Astyanax mexicanus: one gene and its partners. The protein of the gene in region 3 purifies or fractionates together with the protein of the main gene of each other region. This does not show direct contact. Links are inferred from orthologs where the notes say so. Each region holds a gene or a part of one and is shown on either strand. Other genes may lie near its edges. The genes, in order: patj, lin7c, pals1a and amotl2a.

Region 1 (7,935 bases), on a different chromosome or scaffold from region 3:
CTTCCTTCAGCGCTCCCAGACGCTCACTATGAGTCCATTCCTCACGCTGCACCAGCTTCGACTGCAGCCTCTCCAAGGCCTGAAGCACCTGCTGCCGCTCGGTTGCAGATACTGAACACACACAGACACAGAGATAAAAAGACACAGAGTTATGATTTAAGTACAATTATGAAATAATGACTTTACTACTGTAAAATTTAAACAGCATTAAGGAAATCTTTTGCAATCTTTTGTTTTAACATAAAATTGATATTAAAATTGATCAGAGAAATATATACAGCTAGTCTGCCTTTCATAATAAATCAACAAAACAATACATTTAAGATATCAATATAGCCTGTGCAAAATTTGGAACAGGTTTTATGATTTTATACATGCTCTAAAAAACAAACAAAAGACAATTGTTTTAAGCTTGAACGTTCTAAAGTGCAGACTATTAAGGTGACATCTTCAAGTTCTGCTCATATGCTAGTAAGAAAGGCAAATAAAAAAAACATACATTTGTTTAAGAATTATCAACAATCGGTTTAGCCAAGTGTGCTCAAACTATGTTTGCATTTATTATACTGTTAATTAGGTATCACTAAAATGTGGCATAATCCTTTTACCTGTTGGCACATTTTCATACATTGCTCCTCCCCGGAGAGCCTAATGTAGAGGGATGTAAATAAATCTGTCAGGACAAACACAGAAAAACAACATTAACAACCCTTTCTTCATCCGGCTGTACCTATATATGAATTTTTAAACATGTTTAAAGTCAAAGGTTTGTTTGGTAGATCTACCACAATATTAAAAACAGCAAACAGATATTGCGGGGTAAATCAGAATTCCTGTGTACCACAACACTGCAACAGGTAACAGGAGATGAGTGACAAAGATAAACACAAATCAAGATTTATGCAGATCCATTTACCTTCCTTAGAGAGTCATATTGTACACAACCCCGGAGAGCTGCTTGCTTTGTTAGCTGTGAAACAAAAGGACCTTGTGGCCACGCCTTAATGGCCTTGATTTAATTAATTTATTATATATGCTTTAATTATCTGTTTCCCACACCTTAAGAGGTTATGGCCACATCTTAATGAACTCATTTCCAGGCCTTAACAAGTTGTGGTCACGCCTTAATTATTTCCTTTTAACACAATTCGAACATATCTCATTTCTACGCCCTAATAAGTCGTGACCACTCCTTAGAATCTCATTCCTATTCCTTAATCAGTCATGGCCATGCCTTAGGATCTCATTCCCATACCTTAATAAGTCCTGGCAACACCCTAATTACTTTGTTCCCACGCACTAAGATCTCATTCCCCCACCTTAATAGGTTGCGGTCACACCCTAGGATCTCGTACCCCCTCCTTAATATCTAATTTCCATGCCTTAATAAGTTGTGATCATGCATTAGGAGCTCATTACCATGCCTAATAAGTTGTGTCAACGCCTTAATAATCTTAATAATAATCACACACATTAGAATCTCGTTCCCATGCGTTAATAAGTTGTGTCCATGCCTCAGAATCTCATTCCCACGCCTTAATAAGTTGTGTCCGTGCCTCACGATCTCATTTCCACGCCTTAATAAGTCATAGCCAAGATTCAGGATCTCATTCCCACACCTTAATAAGCTGTGGCCACAAAGTATTTTTATTTTAATATGATGTCACCTTAGGGGCTCGGTATGTGCCCACAATAATAACAAAAAAACATTAATAAGCTGCTCACTGAATATATCTGATTAGATTGATCGGATTAGATTTTACGCATGGTATCAATATTTAGAAATTATGGGTTAAACACGTTGATACAAAGGTCCAAAAAATAATATTAGCTAACCTAGCTAATTAGCTAAACCACCCAAACAACTGGTTAAAACATGCTGGTCATCTCTGTAGTCAGATGTTTGGCTGATAAAATAGTTATTCGGCTAATTTTGAGATTAATATGAATATATTCAAGAATATATATCTCATTGACTCACCTCAACACTACACTAACACCAATAAAGGTTAGTAACAATGAGAGAAAACAGTTATTCAGGAAGAAATGTCGATTCTTAACACCTAGGAGACTTCCTATATCATAACAGACAGCTCAGTTTCGGTGAGCTAACCCAGGTTAGCTAAGTTAGTTAGCGGTTAAATAACACATTAGCCACAGCAGCTGTGTTTAAACTAAGTAAAACAAGACGAACTCTGACTACTTACCGAGGTTTTAAGCGCCGAAGTTCTTCAGTTATAGCTTTAAAACAAGCTGGAGGTTCCTGTAAATAAAGTCCAAAACAGTATTGTAGTTAAAACGCTGAGCTTCTTTCAGCTGAGATTTCACTTGTTTTCATCCGCCCGAGCTCACCTGTCTGACGGAAGTGAGAGGAGCTGCGCTGCCTCACCTGAAAACAGGAAGCAGGTAGAGTTAAGTAACAGAGAGAAGCTCACATACCCAGAAAAAGACTGTTTAACTACATTAAACACAATAAACAAGACCTACATGATCGGGGCGAAGCGTTAACGTTACTTAATAAGTAGTGCATTTGGTCAATAATGTTGGATTAATACAAAACAGCTAACGGTTAAACGCTTTCTCCACAAATAGCTAGCTTAGCTAATGTACACAACACACAACAGTACAACAGGTGCATTAGTCTCTAACACGTTTTACACGCCGGTAAACGCAGAAATAACCAGTTTATCACACAGCAACCAAGCTGAAAATGTATATTAACTATATTAACCCACTAACCTGGAGTTTGTTTCTCGCGTCAAGGCTTTAAACTGCTGTTTAACATGTTATTTAGTAAGTTTGGCAGGCTGGCTAGCTCCACTAGCTGTGCTAAACGGGTGGTGAAGTTTAGCTGGCGTTAACTACTCCCCTCACACTCAACTTCATCAGCGTAAAGGTTTGTTTCTTTAGTTTTTATTCATTTTTAACTAAATAAGGCGACTGCTCTGTCTAAATAAACCATTTAAAGTGCAAATAAAAATACTAGAACTTTAGAGGGTTAAACAACTGCATTTTCCTTTCGCTGATTTTTTTTTGTCTCTTTAAAAAAAAATCTCTCCGGGTCACGTGACCACCGCCGCCTCCAACATGGCTTCACCCAGCAGCGGGCTGTTTTGTTGCTGGTGGAAACAGCTCGTGTTTGTGCTTTTCTCCTCCTGCTGGACTTTAATTCACAGCGTTACTGAGCAGGTGGATAGCTGTGAACATCTCCGCCCCGGACAGTATCCTTTTTTCCGCTGTTTGAGTGGAGGATTTGTGTGTTTTCTCCGCTGCAGAAACAGGCTAGCTATCCGGTTTAGCTTAGCTTAGCTTAGCCTAGCCTAGCTAGATGGATATAACCTAGCTAGGTTAGTTGTCAACACAATAATAACGTAGGTAGGGTTCTGTTTTGCTGACCTAGCGTGTATTTGGGTATTTGCTATTAAACAAAGCCTGAAATGTACTTTATTTGATAGATAAAATATTAACCTTGCAAAGTTTGTTTTCTCTGTTTTGTAGCCAGCTAGCCTTAGCTAATTTAACCCTGCTAGTAGGTTCTGTGCTGCCAAATCAGTTCTGGAATTTAGTTATTTGTAAAATAAAATGTTAAAGCTAGGTTTAAATGTGTGTTATCTCTGTTATGTAGCTACCGTTAGCTGACCTAACCTAGAAAATTGATGGGTTATGTGCTGCTAAAAAAAAAATTCTTAATGCTAATTTGTTAAATTAAATGTTAGCTAAGTTAAGTTAGAATGTGTGTTTTCTCTGTTAGGTTATGTAGCTAGCTGTACTGACTTAACCCAGCCAATGGGTTCTATACTGGCAAAAAAAATTGTTAATGCAAATTTGTTAATTAAAATGTTAGCTAGCTAGCGTTAGCTGACCTAGCCAGGCTAATGCGTTCTGTGCTGTCAAACAAAGGTAGCATGAACAAACAAACCAGTAGCTAAATCTAGAAGTTAGTTAGCAATTTAAATATAACATAACTTATATGTCTGCATCCTTATGTGCAAACACTTTGGGAGGGTTTATTGGGTAAGAATTTAGTTCTATTTGTATGCCTCCATTCAGGTGTATATTCTCAATCAAGGGTAAAGCCTAGTCATAGATTGTAGTGCAACAGATTCAGCGGCTGCAGCATTTAAGATAGAATGGAATATATATATAGATATATATATATATATATATATATATATATATATATATATATATATATATATATATATATATATATATATATATAAATAAAAGCTAATTTTAGCTCCCCTTTAAAGTGGAATTAAGAATGAATCATAATATTAAATTGCTGCACGATCTGCCCCCCATTCTGAAGACATATTATATCATAATACACGTTATTGTACACATTGTTTAAGAGAACATTTTAAACAAAAAAATATCCATACACTGGAATTGTAATATAGAATGTCCTAAATATCTAAATAAAATAAAAAACATATTATTAAAAAAAAAAAATTACATCCCTGCTTGTTCATTCTAATGGGTCTTCATATAATGTCAAAGTGAGTAAAACATTATAGAAGTTATGTCAATTTATTGCATAATAAGTTGATAAAATATTTATTGTTACAGCCCTATACACAATTCTAATTGTAAGCATGCAGTCTATTGTTTGAAGTAATATTTTTTTATAGTAGTAGTAATAATAATAATAATCATTATAGTAGTAGTAAAAATAATATCAAAACATAAGAGCCCAGACCTGTTTCAGAATATGGGGCAAACACAAACTTTTTTTTCCCTCTTAATAAATGAAATTATCATTTAAAAAGTGTTTTTTATTTTTACTCAGGTTATCTTTGCCTGATATTTATATGAAGTTTTTTAATAATTAAGAAAATATCAGTACGATAAAGAAGAGAAAAGAGAAGTGCTCATCAGCATAGCTAATTGATAAATATACAGAGAGCTAGAAAGATATATTATTTTTTGTATATCCATTTTAATTGATATTTATTAATAAACAACTTTTTGAACATTTAAACTAAACTTCAAGATCCTTTAGAGTGCAATATAGTATAATCAAAAAAGATGTGATAAAACAGCAAACCTTAAAACTGTATGCTCTAGTGCTGAAAGTATTGTCTGTAACAGGACCAGTCTGTGTTTCTCCTTGACAATATTCAGGTATATCTGCAAAAGTCCTATAATAAATGATGCAACTCAAGAACCAGAGAACTGCAAGGATCTAATAGCATGGGGTGAGCTCATATGATAACTGATGATCATTAAAAATGCATCTGTCACTATGCTTTTTTTGTTGTTGACTTAAGAGTATAGAGCAGTGTGCCAGTTGTCAAATCTGTCCATAATAGAGCTGGGCAAAATAGATTTATAAAAATATATGTTCATACGAGATCAAACAGTATGGTTTGTATTAATAAAGTCTATACTGCATTCCAGTTAGCTCTGTCAGTTCTCCCGCACCCAGACATTGCCCCAAATTTATTTTAAGCAGCAGAACCGTTCAGTGGAGGCTTCAGGGTGCAGGAAAATTACAGACCAATCCCGCGCTTCCTAAATAAAATGTGGTGCACACAGGAGCCCATTCAGAGCATTTTATATAAAACACATAGTGACAACAGAACTCGACATTTCAGAGAAACACAGGCAGTTCAAAACCTGCGTCACTACAAAAACTAAACACTTATCTTCAGAGCTGTCATGCCCACTCTAACCTGAACTGACCAATCAGCTCCTACACACAGGTATAGGAATAGACCTGTCACTGTTTCTGCCCAGATTTAAAGAAAACTCAAATTGCACTTTTTAAATGACTTATTTAAGCACTTTAAGACTCTTTTACCAAAATCACACTTTGATGTTGTTTTTAAGGTACTTTAAATGAAAAAAGAAACAAACATTTTATTTGAAGAATCTTGTTTATAATTAGTGTAATTTAAATTCCCTTTAAGCACTAATACGTTCTAATATACAGGATATGACACAGGATAATAAAACTGCCTGTGTAAAATCTGGAGCATGTAGCTTTGTCTTGGAAGTGTCTTTTTGTTATTACCTTATGGGATTAAAAAAAAAAATCAGATATTAGTTTTGATCCATAATGCCCAGCCCTAGTAGCTAATATGCTATGTTATTTTTTTCAGTGGAGTGTCTTCCTGCACCAAACATCAGCTGTTTGCTGCCTAATGGGACCAAGTACAAATTCAGTGGCGATGAGGTTGGATTTAATAAAAGTGTTCCATGTCGTAATGTGTGAGTTTCTTCCCTCTAAATGTCTATAGTAAATACTAATCTAAAAGAATTTGATTTCATTGGGGTTAATATTTTGTGATAATGTTTTGTTTTGTTTTTTGTTTGACTAGGAGTGTTTATTCTTACAAAGTAGCTGTGGCTTTGTCACTGTTCCTGGGATGGCTCGGTGCAGACCGCTTCTATTTGGGTTATCCAGCTCTCGGTAAGTCCTCCTAAATGTGTTGGTAGTAAACTGTTAATTATCAAGTGTAACAAATTGTAGAATAGAATGTTACCGACATGCACAATATTTTCTTTTAGCTTATCAAAGCATTGTGGGCATATTGTCCATGATTTCTCTTCCAGAGGCAGATTTTATTTGCCATATATATATATATATATATATATATATATATATATATATATATATATATATATATATATATATATATATATATATAATTTTTATTTATTTATTTATTTATTTATTTATTTTTTGCTCCAGTCTTTCAACCATATGATATCAGTCATCCATATACGCAACTATAAAAAAAGTACCTTTTACTTATGGGCAAGGCCAGCTCAACCCTCATGTTCGGCTCTATCCAATGGCATCTTTATTATTATACTGTATATGTAGGGACAGCATTACACTGATGGTGATTCCTGTATCTACAATAGCTGTAGTTTAAACCTTTATGTATAAACAGAAATAAAGTATATTTGTGAGTGGTCTGTAGTGCTCATTCTGCTAGCTTGCATACACTCAAAGAGAGTTAGATTTGGCACAACATCTGGAAAGGCAACTTGTCAAATTGATTTTTATTGATTTAATAGTAATACCAATTACTAGTAAACTGCATTGTGAAACCAAAACTAACCGGACCAAAATCTTTACAGTATTAAAAAACACATTATCCATTAGTTCAGACTTTGGGCTGGACTTTTTAAAGTCTGTAAACAGCCTCTGATAATTTTCATGCTTAACTCTTCTTTTCTTTTTATCTGTTAACAAACTGTACAAGTGAGAGTTCGCTAATTTCCTGAAGTCTGTGTTTCTTCTCTTCAAATCTCCAAAAACTGAATAGAGCCGAGGGGAACTGGCATGTGAGAAAATAAACACTGCTAACATTATCTCACCTGGAGGAGCTAGTTCTTTATACATAAACTCCAGAGTGAAGCAGGATGTGGCGTGAGGAGCTCCTTTTCTCCTTCTCTCCATGTTTTAAGGCCATTCTTATCAATTAAGCACCTGCAGACATACAAAAGACTCTGGCGGATGAAGGCTTTCCTTTTTCCTTCTTCTTGGGCTCTTTTTTTTGTGTGTTTTTTTTTGAGTGTTTGAGCGGAGCAGGTGAAAGGCAAGCCCATGCAGAGCCTGAGCCAGTCCTGCAGGCGTTCTCTCCGAGATCTGCACCTGGTCTGGACTGACCTTCAAGCTACTGCGCCATTCAGCTCTAAAGACCCTGCCTGGCAGGGCTGAACAGGCTCTCCGCAGGCAGCTCTTTTGATATCAGTGCTGGAATCAACACGCTTAAGCCCTTCAGTGACCAATTATCAGCACTATTACTGGCGATTAACAGTAATTATGTTTAAATTACTAGATGTGGGAGGATTAATTAATTGCAATTCTTTCAGATCCCTAATGGCATAAACTCACCAGTTTTTCTGTGTGTATCCAAATGGATGCCATTGAAAAATGGAAAATTGTGACTTTTTTTTTTTTTTTCCTTCCCCATT
Region 2 (7,460 bases), on a different chromosome or scaffold from region 3:
TCGGTTGTAGAGGCTGTTAGTGTGACTTTAATTGGTCTTTCCTTTTCTAGGACAAACATAGCCACTCCTATAAAGCCTTTTAGCCTATGGCTAATTACTTAAATGGATTCTCAGCATACAGGAACATGTTTCAGTCCATGGACAGAGCAATTCTTGTCTAAAGCATATAATGCCTTAATGTTTTAAAAGCCTACATGTACTACAAAAAAAACTTCTTAAAATTATATTTCAAAAGGAAAAAAAAAAAAAGTTCATAATTACTATAATGTAGGAAGGCCTGTCAAAATAACTACATTTTATTTAGATGATGTACTAGTCCAAACGGCAGTTAAATGTTTATTGTTTGCTTTTTAATGCATATTCCATTAATTTTTTTATTGTCTTCTTTATGAAGTTACTTATTTTAGTTAAACCTGATTATAACTGATTTTAATTTTATTTTATTTTCCAATTTCCTTTACGTTGTAAATATTTGGTTTCGTTAAAAATTAGGACTACCTTTAATGTTTAATAAAGGTTCATTAAAATAAACACAATGCACAATTTTTTGACGTCAGTAAAAATAATTAAACAATTATTATACAATGGGGTAATAAGGTAACTTTCATGGCCGGTCTATTTGGATGGTTTGTTGTTATTGCGGAGACTAGAAAAATTGTATTTTTTAGATATACAAAACACAGAAAAGTGAGAAGTTTCTAAATAAATAAATAAATAAATAAAGTATACTTAACATCACTAAATAACTGTAAATGGTTACACAAAGTCGTGCAATGAAAAGTAAAAAGTAATTTAACCAGTTTCTTATGATTTATTAACAATATTACTGGAATCATGGGTGTAACTATCCAATATCAGTGGGTCTAATGTTAATGAAGAGTACTCAAGGTGAGCTTACCTCTCGTACAGCATTGCAAAATTCACTCTGCAAAACCCTCTGCAGGGCTTGCAGCTTCTGAGGGGGTACTTCCCCTGTCCTCTGGAGCTTGTCCAATAACTCAATGGCACGAGAGATATCTGTGAAAAGATATTTTCAGTGAGGCAAGACCAGACAACAAACCAGGAGTACCAATTAATCTAAATCCTTCTGGAATTTTTTTATATAGTTATTTTGTGATTTAGGGAAGTCAACAACAGGGCTGGGCAATACAATTAAATATTGTATCAGAAATGATATAAACGATATTTAGCATCATATTTTCACAGTCAAGACTAAATGCATCAGTAGTAGCAGATTTTTTTAATAAAAAAAAAGGAGATCTGGGCATTTTACAGCCTGAGGACGACATCGGCCCTTGCCTTTCCATACCCAACCCTTTAAATATCCACCTCACAAATTTAACTGGAATTCACTTCACATATTGAAGCCCCCATTATAAAACTCACTTCAAACTAATTTTTAAAAACAGCAATTAATTAAAAACAACTACATGTGTTTCTCAATGAAAAAAATAAATAAATTAGGGATGTGGCATATTATACCGTATGTTATATCATCTCTAAATAAATGCTGATATTCATTTTGTTGAGTAGAGCATTCTATAAGTATGTTTTACATTATGCCACCATAATAACTATTTCAGATAAATATTATCTACAAATAAATCTTTTTGAATATTGTGAATGATATTACACCCTAAAATATCGTGCCATATTACCCACCACTAATTATCACAATATAATTCAGACTGTTCTCATTTCCCATTATACATGTACTAGAGAATGATTATATCTGTCTAGTATCACTTATTTTACTTTAATCCTGGATATATGGAGATAGTTGGAGTACATTATTAGTATCTTGACATTCTGGATCATTGACTTCTGTTACAAATCTGATCAATTTCTTGTATTTTTTCATATCTCAGTTAGGGGTGTACCATATCATATCATATAAGCAATATTTAAATGTTATTTTCATTTTGTTGCAGTAGTGCATTCTTGAAATACAATTTTTATCGCGAAGAGTATAGTTATCATGAAAATACCACAAAATACCATATCGCCCACCCCTAAGTTATGCTATACATTAAAACTCAATTTATACCCATTTTTCAAGACATTTTCAAGTCAAGAGGCTTTCACTGTCATTACATCTGAATACAGGTATACTGTTTAACAAAATTATATTACTCCTTTTTTTAAAATAGGAGTAATTTTAATACATTTAAAAAAAACTTTTTTTTTAAATATAAAAACTTTAAATTAGAGGTGTGCCATATCATAGCGTATGCTACAATATCTCCAAATAAACGTTAATATTTATTTTGTTGCAGTAGAGCATTTAATAGCTATGCTAACTATAACGTTACTGTATGCCACCAGTTTAAAAATAATAAAATAAAAGTAATTTATTACAACAAACTTTGTGTTCCTCAATTAAAAATCTATCATATTACCGTTATATGCTATTATATCTCCAAATAAATTATAATATTCATTTTGTTGCAGTAGAGTATTCTATAGCAATGACAGCTAACTTACACATTATCCCACCATAAATCTCACGTTTACACAAATTTTTCAAGACTTTTCCACATTTTCCAAAACAGTAATCGACTGAACTGGTTAAATGATACTATATTAGTGCCTAATTAACATTATAATATATTTAAAGTGATAAAAACAGTAGTTTTCGGGCTGGTTTAATTCAAAAATCTGAACTAGAACTAAGCTAAGCTAGTCCAGCTGACAGTGAGCTACCTGGGTTAGCTTAGCTTAGTTTAGCTAATAGCCTCCAGCAGCCCCGGAATAAAGCTTATCTCAGACAGCAGGCTAACTGCGCCTCTCCAGCCTTTAAAACACAAAATAAAGCACTGAAATACACAGTTTACCTCTTTCCAGTCTCACAGGTTCCCCCAGCGAGGCCATGTTACCCGGGTTTAGTCCGCTAGTGCCGGAATAAAGGCTCGGTCTCAGCGCCGCGGCTCCGCTGCCTGTACCTAAGCTAGCTAATGCGGAGAGATTACAGCGGGAGGCGGGCAGGATCCTCGCTGCGCACGGTATGCGCATTCCTTTTGTAAACACAAAGTATTGTTTGTGTATGTGTGTGTTAGGGGTGGGCGATACGGCCCTAAAATAATATCACGACATCTCATGGTATTTTTGCGATAACGATACTTTTGGCGATATGAGAAAACACTGAAAAAAAAAAAAATATATATATATATACGTATATATATATATATATACGTATATATATATATATATATATATATATATATATATATATATATATATATATATATATATATATATATATATACATATATATATATATATATATATATATATATATATATATATATATATATATATATATAATTTAGAGTTTTCATAAAAAAAGTTTGTTTTAATAATTTAGTGTTTTAAAAAGGAGTAATATAATTTTGTTACAAAGTGTACCTGTACTCAGATGTAATGATGGTGGGATAATGTATAGCATAGCTTAGGGGTGGGCGATATGTATTTCAAGAATACACTACTGGAACAAAATTAAAAATAATTGTTATGATTGCATATGATATGATATGGCACACCCTTAACTGAGATTTGTAACAGAAGTCTATGATCCAGAATGTCATGATACTAATAATAATGCACTCCAAATATCTCCATATATCCAGGATTAAAGTAAAATGAATGATACTTGACAGTTATAAACCAGTAGATAGATAAAGGGAAATGAGGACATTGTGAATTTTTCTTTTAAAAGCAAAAAAGTAGTACCCTGATAATTAGGGATGCGTGATATGGCACATTATTTCAGGGTATTATATTGTTCAAGACATTTAAAATGTTGGTGATATTATTGCGTGCAATACGATATGGCACACTTTAGTGTGTATAGATTCTCAGTCAGCTTTATGAGGAGTCACCTGGAATGTATTTCAGTTAACAGCTGTGCTGATCTAGTCAAGAGTTAATTACTTGAATTTCTTGTCTCTTAATGTGTTTGAGAGCATCAGTTGTAAAGTTGTGAAGAGGTAGAGGTACAGGTATACAGTGAATAGCTCTATTTTAGTAATGTTCTAATCCAGATTATGACAATAAATACTCAACTAAGTAAAATAAAACAGAATAGGGCTACCTAATCAGAAAAATCATTACAATGGACATCATGTATTTTCTTTTCCTTTTTTAATGATTTGTGGCACAAAACAAAAATTTAGACCTGTTGTCCTTCAGAATAGACCACCAGTGTCCAGACCTAAACCCCATTGAGAATATTTGGAGAAGGCTTTGTGCAGGCTTTGTTGTGTATTTTGTATTGTAATTTTTTCTTGTTGTTGTTGTAATGATTTGGCAATATTGTTATAATTAATTACAGCTTTGCCTTTAAATCTACTTTTAATCTGAATCAAGTATTTAGAGACTACCCACTTCATATCTCACCCTTTATATCAGCAAATTACTATCTTACCGCTAGAGGGAGCCCGCGAGAGAGTCCTCAATGAATGGGAGTGAATGGAGCTAAACTGCTAAAAACAATATTTCAAATACTGTCTAACTACTCATGCATGATTTTACTTTCATTTTAAAAAGTAAAATAAAGTATTTCACTCAGAAAGACAAGAAAACCTACCTGTATGGATCCATTTTTCTATAGTACACATATTTTGAACAGTAGAGACGCTAGCATTATGCTACTTAGTACTGAGTGACTGGCTAAAACTCTTATAAATAGAGTTGAAAAGCTTTTAAAATGATGTGTGCTGTGCTGAAACATTTAATATGGCTCTGTTTTGAGAAAATTAGTCCATTTATCAGTAAAAAATATATAAAACGTTTATAAAATGTGTTTTTGCTCAATTGCTCCATAGGAACCCATTCATTTTGGACTGGAATCGCCCTCTAGTGTCTGACACACCTGAAACACAGCATTCTCAAGTGGATGATATTCTCCCACTCTATAGAGATTCTATTAAAAATAAAACAGTTTATAGCATGTTTGTAGCGTTGGATAATGATAGGAACCTAAATTAAAGAGTTTTAGCATATGTTTCATGGTTGGAATTAGGTAGAAAATGTCTAAAATAGGGAATACAGGGAGAGTTTACTGGTGTTGTATTAGCTAGATAGCATTACCATCTACTGGCCATGAGGCTAAATTACCTCCATTGTATGGATTTTAGATTAGTATTTTTGATTTATCTAAGAATAATGTTCTAAAATAAGATAAGTTATTTATTTAATTTAATTGTATTTTGTTATTATCATAAGAACGCAGGAATATCAGCAGGATAGCATCATATCTGTCTCACCATCAGAGTTAATCCATTTCCAGTACTTCCAGTTCCAGTGGTACTTAGCAGGCCAGGCCTTCATCCATCATCCATCATCCTGCTCTGTTGCTCTGTTCCTCTGGTGTTATATTACAGCAGCAAACTGCACAGACACCATGTTTTAAGAGCCGTATAATTCAGAAACGGACAGGCTAAGTGTGACCTATTTCTGTGGCATATGGGACAGGGCTCTGCTGGCTCTTACCAAGCACTGCCTTTGAACTGGGGACAATCTGAACTTCACTAAAATAACTCAGGAGATATGGAACCGGGCTCTTGGTCAGTGGGAGGTGTAATGTTTAGTGTGAAAATGGCTCTTGGCCTACCTGAAGTGGATTTGTTCTCATTTTTATTCAGGTTATTAGTTAGTTATTAGTTATGTTAGTATTGCAACTGACACAGTTTGCATGGTTTAAAATAACACTTTTACCTGTATTTAGAGGGTTTGAGGAGGGTTATTGATGAAGGTCCTTGAGAAAAATGCGAAGGTCCTTGATGTCCTTCTTTAGGTGTGTGCAAATCTATAGTCTATAGAAGCTCTTATGAATAGGTAGTAGGTGTAAGGACATGTGTAATACGGTAGTAATAATGTAATAATAATAATAGTAGTATGAATGCAAATGGCACAATAATAATAATAATTCATAGAGTATTATCATTATCATAATTATAGTCCTCTTACAGCGTACTACCCCAACATGATTTCCTTTGATATTTTTAAATATTCATGAGCAACGGAAAGAGTAATTATTCCTACATTGTGCCTTATCTCCAATACTGCCTCAGTGTCAACACTTCAGACACATGTGTCTGATAACAATCTATGAGTGAAAGCAGGTTTGCGCTCGCAGATGGATCAGATATCAAGTCGAGTGGATGAGTGTTGAATGCATTGATCTCTTTCTTTTTTTGTTCTCCTCAAAGATGATCTCCATCAGCGATGGAAACCTGTGATAGCCTGTGACCAGTGACTGGAGGGAACCACCACCGACTTCAGAGCAGATCTCAGTCTAGCGTGGGCTGAAGAGTCCTTACCTGAACATGCTGCAGGAACTCCCAGGTCACCAACTCCTTGGTGAGTCAGGTAGTGTGTGTGAAAGACGTTCTGAGAGGAGGTGCAATGTTTAATCTAGCCTTAAAAAAAGAGAGAAATCTGGTGTGGAATTGACTTGTGTTGATGAATATGATTAATAAGTAGGAACTTTTGTTCAATAGCCCACCTCCATCTTCCCTTAGCATTATATAATACAATGCTTTTAGCTGATGCTCCCAACAGGATAACAATGCTAGCATTAGAGGCATCGCTATGTTTATATCATTAGCAAGGCTCAAAGTAGCTCTACACTTTATTAAAAAACTATATATATATATATATATATATATATATATATATATATATATATATATATGTATAAAATACTGTTTATACATACAGTACCTTGTAGCCTCGTTAATGCTGTAAAAATAGCCATTTCTTTGCATGGGCGACACTATGCCCCTACCACTAGCATTGCAAGCCAGTTGGGAGCATCAACTAAAAGCCCTGTATTTCAAAATGCTGAGGGTGAGCAGAGGTGGGCTATTCAACAAAAGTTTATAATCATTATCATGTTTCACTATAACAAAAGCCCATTTCACACCAGTGTTCTCCTTTAATCTGGATTTCCGGTTTCAACGTTGCTCACAACCAGGTTCATAAAGGATTCTGCCTCTTCACAATAAAAGTCTAGTTTTCAGACACAGAACATACTATAAAGTATGGCCAATATTCTGTAGAATTGGAAACTAGTCCAAAACTAGCCTCAATCTCTGACAAGCAACACCAATTTACATATGAAATAATATATTATAATAATATAGAAGGTAATCTTCTGTTTTCCGATATCTGTGCTGAATTTAAACCTGCAAAGGGAGAGCTCAGACTTTATTGACATTGCTTTTTTCAGTTTTTCAGTTGCCTATAGTCATTTTTATTTCTTCAAATATTTCAATTTAATATTGCAAACAACTTCACAACATACAAAATGAATTATATTAATCCAGAACATATCAATGAATAGATTTTATATATATTTATATATATATATATATATATATAGTTTTTATAGTATTTTTTCTTTCATTTCGTGGGGATAAAAAAATAAACAGCAAAGCTTTGACAACAGCACCTTGACA
Region 3 (7,083 bases):
ACCTAGCCGAGCTATATTAATCACAGAAATGTGATGACAGATTGACACCACTGTGCTAGTTAGAGTAACTCCTGCTGTTAAAAATAATGTGTGTATTATATCTGTTATGATAATCTGTCACCAGTTATGATGGTCAGATTACCGGCATATACTTTATCGTCATAAAGTGGCACTCGGATGAGTAATACTGAAATACTGAAAATGTGTTTAAATATCACTGTTATTAAAATATATTCTCTTGTGAACAATATTCATACTAAATTATCTAGTCACAAATAGCCTACATTCAAACTTATAATGAGCTGATTCAACAGGGCCAAGAAAAACATTATAGAACTCCATGCCACAGAGTTCTGTTAAACTCAGAACATCATAAAACACCATAAAAGCATCAAAACTACCCTGAGATATTATAATACAATAAAAAGTCTAGTCAGTCCTAAACCACACTGTAAGACAATTATTATAACTGCATTGCCATACTATTGGATCGGGACTCCGTATTGGCAGATACTCAAAATCAAATGATTTACTCTAGGACAAAAAATGTGATTGGGACATTCCTAACTATGACAGTTTTTAAAACAAATGCAATATATTTCCTTACATTATCACTATTATATTGCAATTTATTCAATCACAATTCCTGGAAAGTGATATGTATTCTATCTTGCCAAAACACAGCCTAACCAATGACTTCATCCACTTTACATCTAATGACTTCTGCAGACCTGTATCTGGGGTGTGGCTGAGTGAAACTCAGCTCATGTCTAAGGAAACTGCCTGATGTCTGAGAACAATGTCATTTCTTACTGGAGAACAGTGAAGCGGTGAGTCAAAAGGTCTCAGGAAATACTGCTCTCAGGAAACATGGACAGGAAAAACTACAAAATCTACTAAAGCAAACTTTCTCTGAATTTGAAATTCTATCAACAACAATCTTTGAAATCAAGGACATTCCTTTACATTCTACAAACTGAACCAAACAAATTGAGTGCCATTATCAGCTGGTAATGCACGGTAACCGAAGCTCTCCATGTATTACTCTGCCACATGCAGGTAACCTAGCAACGATGCAGCACTTACAAGGCAAACAGCGCAGCTACAAATGGAGCAGTAATATAACTATTTTAACTCTAAGTGTTTATAACCAAACAGATGGTATTTTCTCGTCCTCTTTAGCTCAAAATCTTTCCATAAACAGCGATAATGGAACTGCGGTATAATCACAACAATACATTCGAAGGTTCTGCTATAATGTGTAATATTGGCACTGCTGTGCTGCAGTCTTAGGCATGAGTGTATTATTGCTTAATTCTATCAGTCATTGCTTAATTATATCAACTAATCGTTTCAGCCTAATTCCAGTTCAACATTGAACATTTTCAGCTTGCCAAAAATAAATTTTCACCACAAAACCATTTTTTATTTTAAATTAATTTATGGCAATATGTAGAACTTCAAAACAGAAGGCGAAAGTTGAGTAGGGGAAAATCTAAGATATTGTATTGGTAACATTTTGTTTTATTATTACTGTATTAGAGCACTCTTGGTTAAATTGCAAAATTTCTTTATTTTCTAAAATGTAGAGAATTTACATCCAGACAAAAATAAACATGCTTGAACATCATGGAGTATAATTATAATTCAATAACTTAATTTAACATTAAATTAAGAAAATTAAATATAATGTGGCATGTGCAAAAGTAATGGTAAACAAAATTGTAGAGTATTTTGTTTTGTAAATGGCTCATTGTTAAAACAGGAATTGTGTCAAGGTATATTTAGAATATGTATTTATTTATCTGCACTCAGTCTTATACAAGTCCACTACAAAAATAATCTGTATTGTTATTCGTTACAATTATAAAAATGTTAGAAATCATTTTAAACTCACATTATCACTAAAGCCAGAGTGAAAGATGCTCTGCTCTGTCACTGGGTTTGATGAAGCTGCTGCTCATCAATGAGTGAATCAAGAGATTTAGCTGATCTAATATGAAAACCATACTGCTCCCGTTCTGCCCTTTCACTGCTTTCTTTCATATCTATATAACACAGTACTGTACTTTTACTTTCAGTACTTCAGCACTACATTTTACTATAAACTACCTGCTGCAGCTCTTAAGTACAAAACATGTGAAATACTTCAGTATTCATGGGAATTAAAGAACACTTGAACTTCTACTTAAGTTAATAACTTTTTGATGGATAACGTTTAACTTACTCATATCTGGGTTTCTAGTAGTTTATACACCTTTATAAATTACATCGGCCGGGGGCGCTGTGCTGTGAGTAGAGTACACTTGTAAATAAGCATAAGGTCGGATTAGACATTAAACAGCTAATTAAAGTTTTGTTTAATTTAGCTAGGGTTAGTTAGTTAGTTAACTATGGAGGTTTAGGGGGGGAACACTCGAAATTACGAGTGTTTGTAAGAATTAGTTCGCGAAGTTGTGAAGAGGCTGTGTTGGTGAAACTCAGCCCCGGGACGGAGCAGCTGTGGGTTAAATTAGCTGGTTAAGCTAAACTATTCACTTTACTGTTTAACGACTCGCGGAGAACAAATTCAGCCCCGTTAATGTCAAGTAATCCCTCAGAAACAGGAATATTTACCAGAAGGAAGTGTTAAAACAGCGCGGTGCGCGCCGTGAGTCCGCCCGCTCCTTTAGAAGCGCTGAAGAGTTTACAAGTAGCTGCTTAGCTAACAGGCTAACAAGCTAACAGGCTAACAGCGCTCCCCCGCCCGCCGCGCGCGCCGCTCCTGGCAACCTGTCGCGAGGGAGCGCAGAGCTCGCGAGCGGAGCCGCGCCGCCGCACCAAGACACTAAACACTGCGGGCCGAGGACTGAAAGAACAGCGGGGAAAGTTGGTCTTTACCTCTCGGGCTAAAATCCGCGGAGACTTCCCGGTTTTAATCCGTATCCGCCGAGTCGCTCCTCACATACAGCAGCGCAGCAGAGCGGCCGCGGCCCGGGCTCGCGACATGTTGTGGTAAAGTGAGACGGGGAGGGGGGGGAGGGGGGAGAGGGGGCGGTAAGTGACTCTGCAGCGCCCCCTCGGGTTCAGACAAGAACATATATTTTTTTCCAAAGCCTAAACAGTTTTACAACACTAATCTGTTCATTTTACTCAAACATATACCTATAAATAGCAAAATCAGAGAAACTCAAGTAGTCTCTTACATATAAATATATAACATTACAGCTCTGGAACAAAAGTTTCTGAACCAGTTTCTCTGATTTCGCTATTTATAGGTAGATGTTTGTGTATCAAGAACATTTGTTGATTTATTCTATAAACGGCAGACAGCATTTCTCCCATATTCCAAATAAAAATATTGTCCTTTAGAGCATTTATTTGCAGAAAATGAGAAATGGTCAAATTTACAAAAAAGGCGCAGAGCTTTGAGACCTCAAATAATACAAAAAAAATCATATTAATAAGCTTTTAAGATCAGAAATAAATATTTGGTGGAATAACCCTCGTTTTTAATCACAGATTTCATGCATCTTGGCATGTTCCCCTCCACCAGCCTTACACACTGCTTTTGGATAACTTTATGCCACTCCTAGTGGCTTAAAAAGAAAGTATATATATATATATATATATATATATATATATATATATATATATATATATATATATATATATATATACCAACTGCACAGTGTTGGGCATAATGAAAAACGCCCTCTTATCTAAACTTTGCCATAATACTAAAACTGGAAAATTCTTCTGTATTCCTGAGTAAAATTTTATGTTATTCAGTGGGCGGGCAAATAAATAAAAAAATAAAAAAATATATAAATATAAATAAATATATATATATATATATATATATATATATGAATGCTTAAGAAATGAAAAGGCACACAACCAGTGTCACCACTAAGTCTAGACAGTTCCGTAGGTGTGACTAACAGGATACTGAGAAGGACTTTTAATAGGACAGTCTTACTAAAGACAACCCACATACCTTTACAGTGGAACAGTGCTGCACTACAATTCAGGAGTCTGATCCATCTTCAGGAAGGTCTTTTGTGCCTTTCTAGAATAGAGAGCTGAACCCTGCCTCTAAAAATGGTCTGGGTTTTCCAGACCTTATCTTTACCTCTACTGTACCTGTTAACTGTCATTTCTTTATAAATATCTGAAACTGAGGAAATTATATCCTAAAAAAGCTTCTCTTGCTTAAGACATAAAAAGGAAATCTTTGTTTAAACATTTTGCCTTTTTGGAGATTGGCTCACCTTCTACTTACCTGGCTTTTTACAGTAACAGTCATTCGGACCACAAGTGTTCTCAAAATTGTGAATGCTCCTTTCCATTTGAAAAACAGAACACGGTCAGAAACTTCAGCCATCTTTCAATGTTTATTTTAAAAAGAGAAACTGAACCACATGTTTTTTACAGAATGATCAAGGATTTTAATTTCATCAGTTTGAATATCATTACAGAAAAAAAGTTATTATAGTACAGAGTTTTGTCTCCTCATTGCTTCAATATATTCCATAAGGAGTGCTGGTCACACATCTGTACATCACCACTCTCGTGTTCGTTGTCTTTTCTATGTTTGTTTGTATATATGTTTTGACTGTACATTATATATTTATTTATTTAGGTTAAAAAGGCTGTCAGCAATTAAATAAGCTGTATTGTCCTTTTAAAGTCAAAGAAATAAAAGGTCCCAGCTCCCTCAGCCTCTAGGAGTGGGTGGGGCTGGTTAAAGAGGTGGGGTATAGGGCAGGGTTGGGAGTAATAAGGGCGGAGCGATGAAGAGAGATGGTTATGATGGATGTTTTGGACCGAGGAAGTCTGCCGGACCGACCGCTCCAGCTCTTTCATGTGTTTCAGCAGCACAAATCGAACATGTACCTTCCATATAATCAGTAGCTAGGATAACAGAAACTGCACTAACATATGTGCATTTTACTACTAGACACAGCAGGTAAATGTGGACCAAATCCAATGTTTTACATTATATGGGTGACACAGATGTGTCATTTGTGAACAGTAGGGCTAACAGGGCTGATGATTATTTTGGTAGTCAACTAATCTAATAATGATTCTTTTAATTAGTCGATTAGTCAACATTTAACTGCTTTAATTAAAAAAAAAGAAAAAGCTAAACTCTGGATTTAAATGCCCATTACAAAGCGCTGCTGTTATAAATTAACCATTAGTCCACACTGATAAACTAATCAAACGTTTGTCTCTCAGTTTCATAACCACACTCCACTCCCTCCCCGGCCCAGGCCTTTGGCACCGCGCACATAAACACGACTCACGAGATAAACGACAAGCAAAGCAGTTCTGTGAGGCCTTTATGAAGTGCAATGAAGCTTCAATGGAGCATACAGTATAATACTAAAGGGAAAAAAGCTGGGTCACCTCGGTGCACCGAGTGGTGTTGAATGAGTCCGATAGAGACGGGAAACCGAGAAAAAACTCTGCTGTCATCTCGAGCGGTTCTGTCCCTCAAAAAAAAAAAAAATAAATAAATCTTTTCCAGTGATGTAATCTGGACAGGCGCATACAGCTCTTTATTAAAATGCTACTGCTATCTATAAGGTCTAGCACTGAGCACACAAAAGCAATTGCGATGAAAGACAGAGGAGAGTTGCTTAATATGATGATGATAATATATATAATTATATTAATCATTATATTATTATAATATATTACAGAATAAATCTCTTTTCTTTCTTATATATATATATATATATATATATATATATATATATATATATATATATCTTCTTTAAAAGGTATATCTTTCTTTCTTTGAAATACTAGGATGTCTTTGAAGTCTTGAAATACTCATAAATTTGTTCAGAAGTTTTTGTTTCAAAATGTTTATATGATTATACTTGATCATCATTATCCAAATCGATAAAAACTTGCTGTGCCGTTGCATATTACAGAGTAGTAAATGATATGTGGACATGCACCACTTCGCTCTGGGCTTACTGGTCCTCCTAAGACAGCATCATAGCCGTCCTATGACCATCACGTCCACCACCTCTCCTTTGTGCAGCTCCACGTATTGCTCTGTTTTGGGAGGCAGCATTAGAAGTCCGTTGGCACTGCGCATGCTCATCAACCGACTGCTCATCTGGTTTCCTGAGAGAGGGAAGAAAAAAAAGAGCGAGTTAAACCGGTTTTAAGATAAATTACATCCAAACTGACTCCTCTTCAGACTTGAGTCCTTTTTACACACTGTATCTGTATCTGTTCTCTGTATACTTTTTTATTCTCTTCCTTTTATCCTGTTCTTCAATCCTCAGGACCCCAAAGGTGGTGGGTCGTAGCACTGCAGTGATTAGCACTGATTAGCATGGTGGTGGTGTATGAGGTGTTAAGGTGTAAAGACGCACCACCCAAATAATTATAGCTGCTCTGTGGTAGTCTCTCCTATGGGGCCTCAAGTATTGAAGAACAGGGTAAAAAAAGGAGAATAATAAAGTATGCAGAGAAACAAATACAGGACTACCCCTCAGACTTAACTAATATACAACTGAAATATATGGTGGACAAGGATTGGTGTATGTTCCACATCTAGGTGCCACTGTAACCAGATTATTAATTCTGATTAGTGTAAAGTCTCCCCTACCTGTGCTCTGTGCCCAGGGCAGAGGCTCCTGGTGATGCCACGTTAATATACAGCGATGATACTCCGGACGGGGGTCCAGCTTTACATCACAGGACAGCTATGAAGAAAAACATAATTTATTATGAAACCCGAGCACAAAAAACAGAGTCTAATACGGGCCAACAAATAATTGAGTGCAATTCAAATGTACAAACCATGATAAACAACAAACTATAACCACCATCCTTGCTGAACTGAACTTTTATTTTACTAAACTTAACTTTTATATTATTACAGTGGTATTAAAAGTTTGGGCACAACTGAATATTTTAAAATGATTTTTCTTTATAAATTGGTGGTTCGGATCAGCAATTTCAGTTAAATATGTTATGTAGCAGATGAACACCATGATATCTGAGAAGTGAAATAAAGTTAATAGGATTTACAGAAAGTGTGCAATAATTCTTTAAACAAAATTATTTGGAGGG
Region 4 (7,902 bases), on a different chromosome or scaffold from region 3:
AGTCTCACTGCTTTCTCACTGTAGCTCTCCACCTCCCTTCTCAGCTTCTCATTTTCCTTTATGAGTTGTTCCATTTGAGGATTAGGAGCCTGGATGCTGTATCCTGCGACGATGACCTCCTGGCCAGCAGGGGGCAGTGTGGGCAGGGTATTGTTTCTGATCACCTGTGACTGGGCTGGTACATATCTGGAAGAAACAAACCAAAAATCAGGGTTGGTATGCTTATTTAATTTACTTTTGCAAAAAACGTGTATTATATGTGATATGAAAAGATAGACCTGTCAAAATAATTATGTTAGCAATTTATCTTACAGAATACGAAAATGTCATTTTTGCTGACAGTGATACTGGCAGTTGTGTTAACTTTGTTATGAATGTTTATGAATGTCAATATAACGTCAATAATATTGTCTATTCCAATGATCAAATATTGATTATTTACCTGTGGTGCTGCGAGTGGAACGCCGGAGGGGGTTCTTTGTAATAGTGCCCGTTCTCCTGCGAATGGCTCAGCATATATCCAGGGGATTTAACGGTAAAGGGGTACTCCGGAGGTGGCCCGCGCTGATCATGCCCGTGATCAAGGACAGCAGCACCAGCGTGGCTATGCCCGAATAGCTGGGGGTAACTATGCGATGAGCTCATTGGCATGTTATCATGAGCACCGTTCCTTTCCAGGGAAAGCTGCATGAGGCGCTCACTTAGTGACCTGGCATGCTCCCGTTTGAGGTCCCATGTGCCCTGGTCCTGCTCGAGCCCCGAATCTGCGCCGGGGGTGTCCAGCCCACCCTGCTGCAGGCCGGCCTGACCCCTCTGAGAGGCCAGGTACTGTGAGTGGGCCTTGGCCTCCTCGTAGGTGGGCAGCTCTTCCGTGTGGAGCTGGTACAAGTGGCACACGGGGCTTTCCGAGTGCTGGTAGTCCCCCTGGTGCTCCTGACCCTGGGGTTCCTGTCTCGTGGACATCTGGAGGAACTGGGACTCCTCCTGAGTTAGGCTCTCCAGGGACGAGCGAGGGCTGCCAGCGCCCCCGCCGCTGCCACTGCCACGCAGGGCCTGCTGTTGGATGGCCAGGAGAGTGCGGGTATCCGTGGGGTTGCCATACCGAAGCTGTTCCTGGATCAGCCGGTGCAGCACCGTGCCCGAGGACTCCTCCGCGGTTCTCATCTCAGTCAAGGTTCAAGTGTAGTGCCAAAAGAATATAACACTTGACGTGATGATTGAGCGATTATGTGGCTTGACCGGTCAACCTGGGTTTAAAAGTTAAAACAATTACAAACATTAGTAATGAAAATAGCATGATAATAAAATTATAAAAAGTATATATATATGTAAATAAATAATATTAAAAACTAAAAATAGCCTGTGGTTCAGTGGATTATACTCTTAAACATTGTGTGTAGACCCACACTTAAGTTCAGTTTAGTACAACAAACTAAAATTGGCCTATGTTTCAGCAGGTAAAGGCAGTAGTTCTTAAACTGTGGTCTGTGTCCCACTGTTGGTATACCAGATGACCTCAGAAAATGTGTGGAATGCACTAAATAAAAGTAATATCTGTTGTTTTAATGTGTAACTTACATAACAGTTGTTTTTGTTTAATGCTTAGCTGTAGTTTAATCATAGAGCATCATTCAAAAAGAGAAATTTAGGTTGTGAAATGGGTTTCCCTCCAGTCCACATGCCCCCTCTAGAGCAACAACACCACCTCAGCCAATAAAAATCCCACATAAACCCCCTCAACCAACTACATTATGGCTTTTCACAAATATCCTCACACATTCACTATCAATTTTTGCTTGTCATTAATTTCATAAAGGTTTTTTGCACTAGATTACAGCTTGTGAAACACAGTTTCACACACAGACCCAACATAACCAACAAAACCTCCAGGTATGTGTAACTTGAGGCAGTTTGACCTTATGGCATTTACTAGAGTCTGAGTGAGACTTCTGAACCTGCATTTGCGTCAGTCTTTTCCTGCTCCAAATTCCTCTCCTGTAGCCTCACCTTCACGCAACTGAGCAAACTCACATTATTGAGCAAGCAAATAAGGCCTCATTTACAGCAAATAGTGCCAGAGTATTCCACACAACCCCAGATCCACATTTAACAGTCCAAAAAGCTGGACAACATAGGAAACATTGGAAACATGGGAACGCTTTAATAGTTCTTGGTACAGATGTTGTACTAACTAGATAATAGGTTAGTATTTTGTTGTATCACAATAAATATAGTTTTATGAACATACAATAAATATTGGCAGTGCTAAAAAACACTGATCCACTGCAAATCATAGCTAAACTGTCCAAAGAAAATCATGTATTCCATATATTGTCTTTATAAAAGAAGGAAAAGGTCTTCTTTACTTTATGCAATAAAATGGATAAAAACGTTTTTTCTTTTTTCAAACATACTTGATATATCATTACAGAAAGTGTAGCTAATTATTAGTGTTTAATTGGATTTTAGTTTAGTATATTTGTAATAAAATAACTATATTAGCTAAAAGTATTGGAAGCATCTGAATATTAGTTTTCACAAATCTGATTTTTTGTGCATGTCAAAATATTGCAATAAAAGTATTGTGATACAATATTATATACCATATCGTCCACCTCTAGCTAAATAACTAACACAGCAAGCTACATTCTTTAAACAGAAGTAATAAAACACAGAAATAACAGATAACTAGTTTAGTGAGAGAACAGAAATAGGAATCCAGTAAAGGAAAATAGATAAGATACACAAATGTATGTTAAAAAGAAAGCGAAAATGAGCTTAAACTGAAAACAAATACACATAAACCCGCAGTTTGTGGCTGTTTTACCCCAGAACTCACCGAGTTACTCCGGCATCCCTGCAGAAATATGAAGTTTATGAGGGTAAATGCTGAGTTTTAGATCCTTTAGAAGTCTGTACAGCTCGGCGGCTGTGTTTATATCCGTGTTAAAGCTGCTCGCGGGCTGTGCTCGCGCTGCGCTCCGGCGGCGGACTGAGGCCGGGGGGAGGAGCCGCGCTTATTAAGCGCTCGCGCTGATTGTTCTCCGGCTCCGGAATGTCAGGAATGTGAAGGCTGCGGGTCCCACAGGGATTCACACAAGCCCCGCCCACCGGACCAGGATTGGCTGCTTGCGTTCCCGCTCCTCTGCTGGGATTGGTGCAGAGCTCAGTGCTTATATGTTGAGATATATTTTATTTAATCATGTTTATTAATGATTATATTTAGATTTACTCGAGTTTTTAACCACTTTTTCATATATGAACAGTTTTTTACCAACTTAACAAAGCAACTAAAACATTTATTTATACATATTTAACTTCTATTTAGGAATTTCTAAAATATATATTTAGATTAATTCTAGAACAATTATGTAGATCTAGCTTAGATTTACAAAAAGATAGTTAGTTTATTTATACTTAGCTTTAATCCATCTATTTTCAATATATTTGTATAGTTTATATTTCGTTTCATAATTTTATTGCTATTATTATCATTTTCTCTTATTTTATTGATGTTTTATTGTAAGTTTACATTTATTTACATATATGTTTTCTTTGTGTTTTTATTGGTGATCGTATGAAATGTGCTAAATCAATAAAGTATTGTATAAAAATATTATGCAGCCAAACATACACATACATTTTTATTGTGGCTGAACTTCATCTAATTAAACAGCACTAATTACACTGGCTGTAGTGAAATGGTAAGTTTGTCAGGGTTCTTGAAGCAGAAATTATTAAAAGTATATTTTGTATAATTTCTGAAGCATTTCTGCTACTGATGGATTCATTAGAAGGGGTGTCCACAAACATTTGGACAGTATAGTGTATCTGTAGCGTGAATGGCAGGAATGTTCCATTAGGTGTGAATGGGTGCAGGTTAGTTTGGCATGTAGGCCTATATGTGTGTGTATGTATATGAATAGAGTAAACATGAATAGAAGGAATGTTGACTCCTGTTTTCTCATAGATTTTTAAACATTACTGTAGAGATTTAATTGCTTTCAGTGACAAGTGTTACTGAGAGCAGAATGTTGGATGAGGACAAAGGCAGCCATATGTGTTCAACATAATTTGTCCTTTATTTCACTGCTCTATACCCCCCAAATATTTTACACACATCTACACAAGGTATGGGTAAGTAATAGTTATTTATTGTTTACAGCATTTGAACACACCAGCTGCCGTTCACATTGTGTCCAGGTTTTTACATTGACTTCCACTGGAAGTTAGAAGTGGTTCAGAGAAAAGTATCCAATTGTTTTATTCCAAATAACTTTGAGTCATTTCTATTAGTCTATTCACCATATCATTTGAGTTTAAATGGGTTTAAATAATAGAAAAAAAAATCAACAAAAATGGAGATACATGCTTTTCACACAAATCATATCTCGCAAACAGCTACTTTTTTGTTGTACAAAATTACAGGAGTAAGAAAAAAGGTCAATGTAAAAATATGTTATTTCAAGCCATTTTGAAGTGTTTCTATTGGTCCAATTATCATAAAATTCCAATATAAAAATGATAATGTTTAAGTTCACATTCTGAATTCTGAATGCTTTGCCACAGTGCAATTTTCCTATTCATTTCATTATTAAAAAAAGAAAACACTGTTTTTCACCAATTTAATCTATTTATTCTATTATGTTGTTTGCAGCACATATCTAAAAAAAACTAAAGAATACTGAAACCTCCTCTGTAAGATTAAAGCGGTATATTTGAACAGGAGTGTGTATGGTGAGTGTGGAATGTGTTGAATGAGAAAGCTGGTAAAGTATTGATTTGAGCTCTTTTGTTTGCCTTCAGCTGGTGAATATTTAAGCCCTGGCCCGTGCCAGTTAATTGCTGAGTGTGTGTCTGTGTGGACAGTGAGGGAGGGGTGTGTGTGTGTGTGTGAGAGAGGCATGCTGCCTGCCAGCTGTCTCTGGAGTGCACTGGTCTACCCCTCCTTAATAAGCTTTCAGATAGACGCATTGTTCTTCCCACAGCAGAATTACAGGGGAGAGTCTACCATCTGCTCCTACATACACCATACACCACCATACACACCCCCCACACCATACACACACCATACACCATCCCCCTACAGACCCCTCTCACTATATATCAACGTTTTTTACACAACCCAAAAAAAAAAAAAAAAAAAAAAAAAAATATATATATATATATATATATATATATATATATATATATATATATATATATATGTGTGTGTGTGTGTGTGTGTGTATGTGTGCATAATGTTTTTGTATGACGTATGTTTTTGTAAGAATGTATGATGATTTTATTCCAAATAATTCAAAGTATTTTTTTTATTGTTTACATGTTGAAGCACACAGAAAATACTGATGATACATATAGTGACCATCCAGCTTGTTATCAGCACACAGCATGCCATTTAAAACAGAAAACATTTGGTACATTATAAAAGAAAAAATCTGGCAAAAAAAGATCTAGCATTATTGAGCAGCTACAGGTAACATTCTTAGAATATTTAATCTGTTAAGTTTTCTGGATGTTCTTAGAATATTTTAATTTTACACTTTTAGATATTCTGGTAGCGTTGCTGCAACATAGTTTGTGTCAATGTTTAAATGTTTCGTTTTTATTAACATTTTCATAATGCTAGTATTCATCTAGCTGGGAATGTTGGGTGAAACATTCAAATAGCATTGTGATGCAAACCATTATTATGTCACACTTTTCAGGACATTCCTGTGAGTTTATTACTGTAACATTACAAGCTAACTGTCCTAGAACCTTTTCAAAACCTTAATAAACATTCTTATAACATTCTCTATTATCTGGGTTGGAACTAAGTGTTTATGATGAGTTTAATAGACATCAATGTCAACATAATTAATAACTTTCTATTAAAATTTTGGTGGTGCAAGAGTCACACTAGAGTCTGTTCACCTGGGATTATTTTAAAAGCTCCTGTAAGTGTGTAGTGTGCAGTTGTCCCAGTACCTTTGTCCAAAAAGTGTGTTTCAGAAAATCAGAATAGATCAAATATAGGCCATATCTTTTTTGTAGGACACTTAGCTTATAAGATGTCCTGTGCAGCTGCTTACCTTTGCCTAGGGCAATAACAGTGCCTGTATATAAAGTACGTAAACACTACATACGTACTGTAAACACACTCACCTGCACGCACACACCCCTATACAATCTACAGAATGCAGGTGCTTTGTGAAAAGGAGAATAGGACTGATCTCAGTTTTTGCAGCACGTAAAATCAGTCCATTTAACCCAATACTGAGTCCAGATGGTTAGTGAGAGGCAGCTGTGTGTAAAGCAGCATGTCCTCGCTTGTTGATGCTAGTGAGCAGTTGGTGTGCCGGATGTGTGGATCCACTGCAATCATATCACCACATGGATCTGCTTTTACCAACATCCTTCAGTTAACAAACTAAACCCACCCAAGAACCGGATCATCAGCAAACATTTCACTCAGAAAACGCCCGGAGATAACAAAAATCACTTAGTTAACAGAGATAGCATTCTCTAAGCTGTTTAAGCTAAGCTAAGAGATTTTAATCCAAAATCGGGTAATACGTAGTGTTTATTTATCATTAACATTTCCCTGTAGTAATGTATTGCCAATAGACTAGAAGAAAATAACAAACCAGTGTTAAATACATTTTAGATAATTTATATTCTACTAACATTAAATGATAGAAGGGATATATATATTTTTTTTCAGGAAGAACTATTAGTACTATTACTATTACTAGTACTATTTTTCAGGAAGTACTATTAGTATTATTAGTAGCTGTACTATTAGTAGCTGTACTCACTAACTCAGCTGTACTCACTAACAGAGAACGCTATGAGAACGCTTGGCAATGTTTTTAAAAAGGGTCTAGGAAGGTTAGCCTGTAATGTTATTATAAAATAATATTACAAAATGTTCAAAAATGTTCTAAACCCGTGTGATATAGTAGTAGTATGTATAATAAAGGTTTGCTTTACAACATTATTAGAATGTTTTTTACATAACGCTCAAAGCTAAATAGAGCTAAACAAAGCCATTTCTATTGCGCCATTCATCATAAAATTTATATACAATATACTGTATCAGATAAATGAAACAGATTCCTTTTTATGTTTAAGGGTAATGCTGAGTATATCATCCATTTTCTCTATCCCACTCATTTATTTTAATTTGAAGGTGATGTTGACTTCAATACAAACTCTCTGCTTGTGATTTTGATTCAACAGTGAGGCTCACTAAATTATGTTGCTTTAAATAATACTTTGGTTAGTTGGGGATCGGGGTGGGTTAGTGATCATCCACAAACCTGACCTCACTAGCAAAAACAAATCCTCACAGCAATGCTCCAAAATCCAGTGAAAAGCTTTCCTGAACAAAAGAGACCAAAGGATCAAAATGTGGTCCAACAAAATAGATTAATTGATTCATGGTCTGGTTTGTTTGCAGTGTAAAAACTCTTTTGTAAATGGTTCAGGCTTTTGGAACAATTACAGAAAATTGAGTCAGACTATCGTCACCCATAAAACAATAGAAGAAGTAAAAGAAGAATTGTTGTGCTAAAATATGTTTCCCTTGGGGATGTGCAGGAGCGTTACGCAACAGTATGAGTACAACTGATTACGGTGCTGGTGATTCTGTATCTATTGTAGCTGTAGATCAATCTACAGTTACAGAATCTGATCATTCTGCTGCATGACTCAAAAGGCGCACTTAAAAGGATTCCAGGGAGACTTTATTTGGCAAGCCAGTGTGTCAAACTGACAACATTCCAAACCAGAATAAAATATAGGGAGGCTCTACCCATGTAGTTGATGACGTCAGGATGTAGTTAAGTTGCTTAGTCGCTCAGTCACTAAACTGCTGTGTGAAACTAATCAAAACTAACCAGACTAAATAAGCAGAAT

What was found.
Region 1: the proteins of pals1a (region 3) and patj purify together in Homo sapiens (co-immunoprecipitation; 5 studies listed by BioGRID and IntAct, counting the BioPlex papers as one, with this or other methods). This does not show direct contact. The link is inferred for Astyanax mexicanus from reciprocal best matches to the Homo sapiens genes PALS1 and PATJ.
Region 2: the proteins of pals1a (region 3) and lin7c purify together in Homo sapiens (affinity purification with mass spectrometry; 3 studies listed by BioGRID and IntAct, counting the BioPlex papers as one, with this or other methods). This does not show direct contact. The link is inferred for Astyanax mexicanus from reciprocal best matches to the Homo sapiens genes PALS1 and LIN7C.
Region 4: the proteins of pals1a (region 3) and amotl2a purify together in Homo sapiens (affinity purification with mass spectrometry; 3 studies listed by BioGRID and IntAct, counting the BioPlex papers as one, with this or other methods). This does not show direct contact. The link is inferred for Astyanax mexicanus from reciprocal best matches to the Homo sapiens genes PALS1 and AMOTL2.

The regions. Positions count from the first base shown.
Region 1 is NC_064423.1:15,520,992-15,528,926, reverse strand, and holds the start of patj (inaD-like protein), read right to left. Parts: upstream 3,011-7,935; 5' UTR 2,740-3,010; intron 2,390-2,739; 5' UTR 2,353-2,389; intron 2,264-2,352; 5' UTR 2,208-2,263; intron 674-2,207; 5' UTR 631-673; coding exon 609-630; intron 112-608; coding exon 1-111.
Region 2 is NC_064430.1:6,993,685-7,001,144, forward strand, and holds the start of lin7c (protein lin-7 homolog C), read right to left. Parts: upstream 3,004-7,460; 5' UTR 2,872-3,003; coding exon 2,835-2,871; intron 1,018-2,834; coding exon 899-1,017; intron 1-898. UniProt on the Homo sapiens protein: Plays a role in establishing and maintaining the asymmetric distribution of channels and receptors at the plasma membrane of polarized cells.
Region 3 is NC_064421.1:29,477,975-29,485,057, reverse strand, and holds the start of pals1a (protein PALS1), read right to left. Parts: upstream 3,012-7,083; 5' UTR 2,881-3,011; intron 2,701-2,880; exon of another isoform or gene 2,617-2,700; intron 1-2,616. Other genes in the region: gphna (gephyrin a), read right to left, coding at 5,993-6,126, 6,617-6,713. UniProt on the Homo sapiens protein: Plays a role in tight junction biogenesis and in the establishment of cell polarity in epithelial cells.
Region 4 is NC_064412.1:48,138,312-48,146,213, forward strand, and holds the start of amotl2a (angiomotin-like 2a), read right to left. Parts: upstream 3,014-7,902; 5' UTR 2,840-3,013; intron 1,248-2,839; 5' UTR 1,165-1,247; coding exon 443-1,164; intron 187-442; coding exon 1-186. UniProt on the Homo sapiens protein: Regulates the translocation of phosphorylated SRC to peripheral cell-matrix adhesion sites. Required for proper architecture of actin filaments.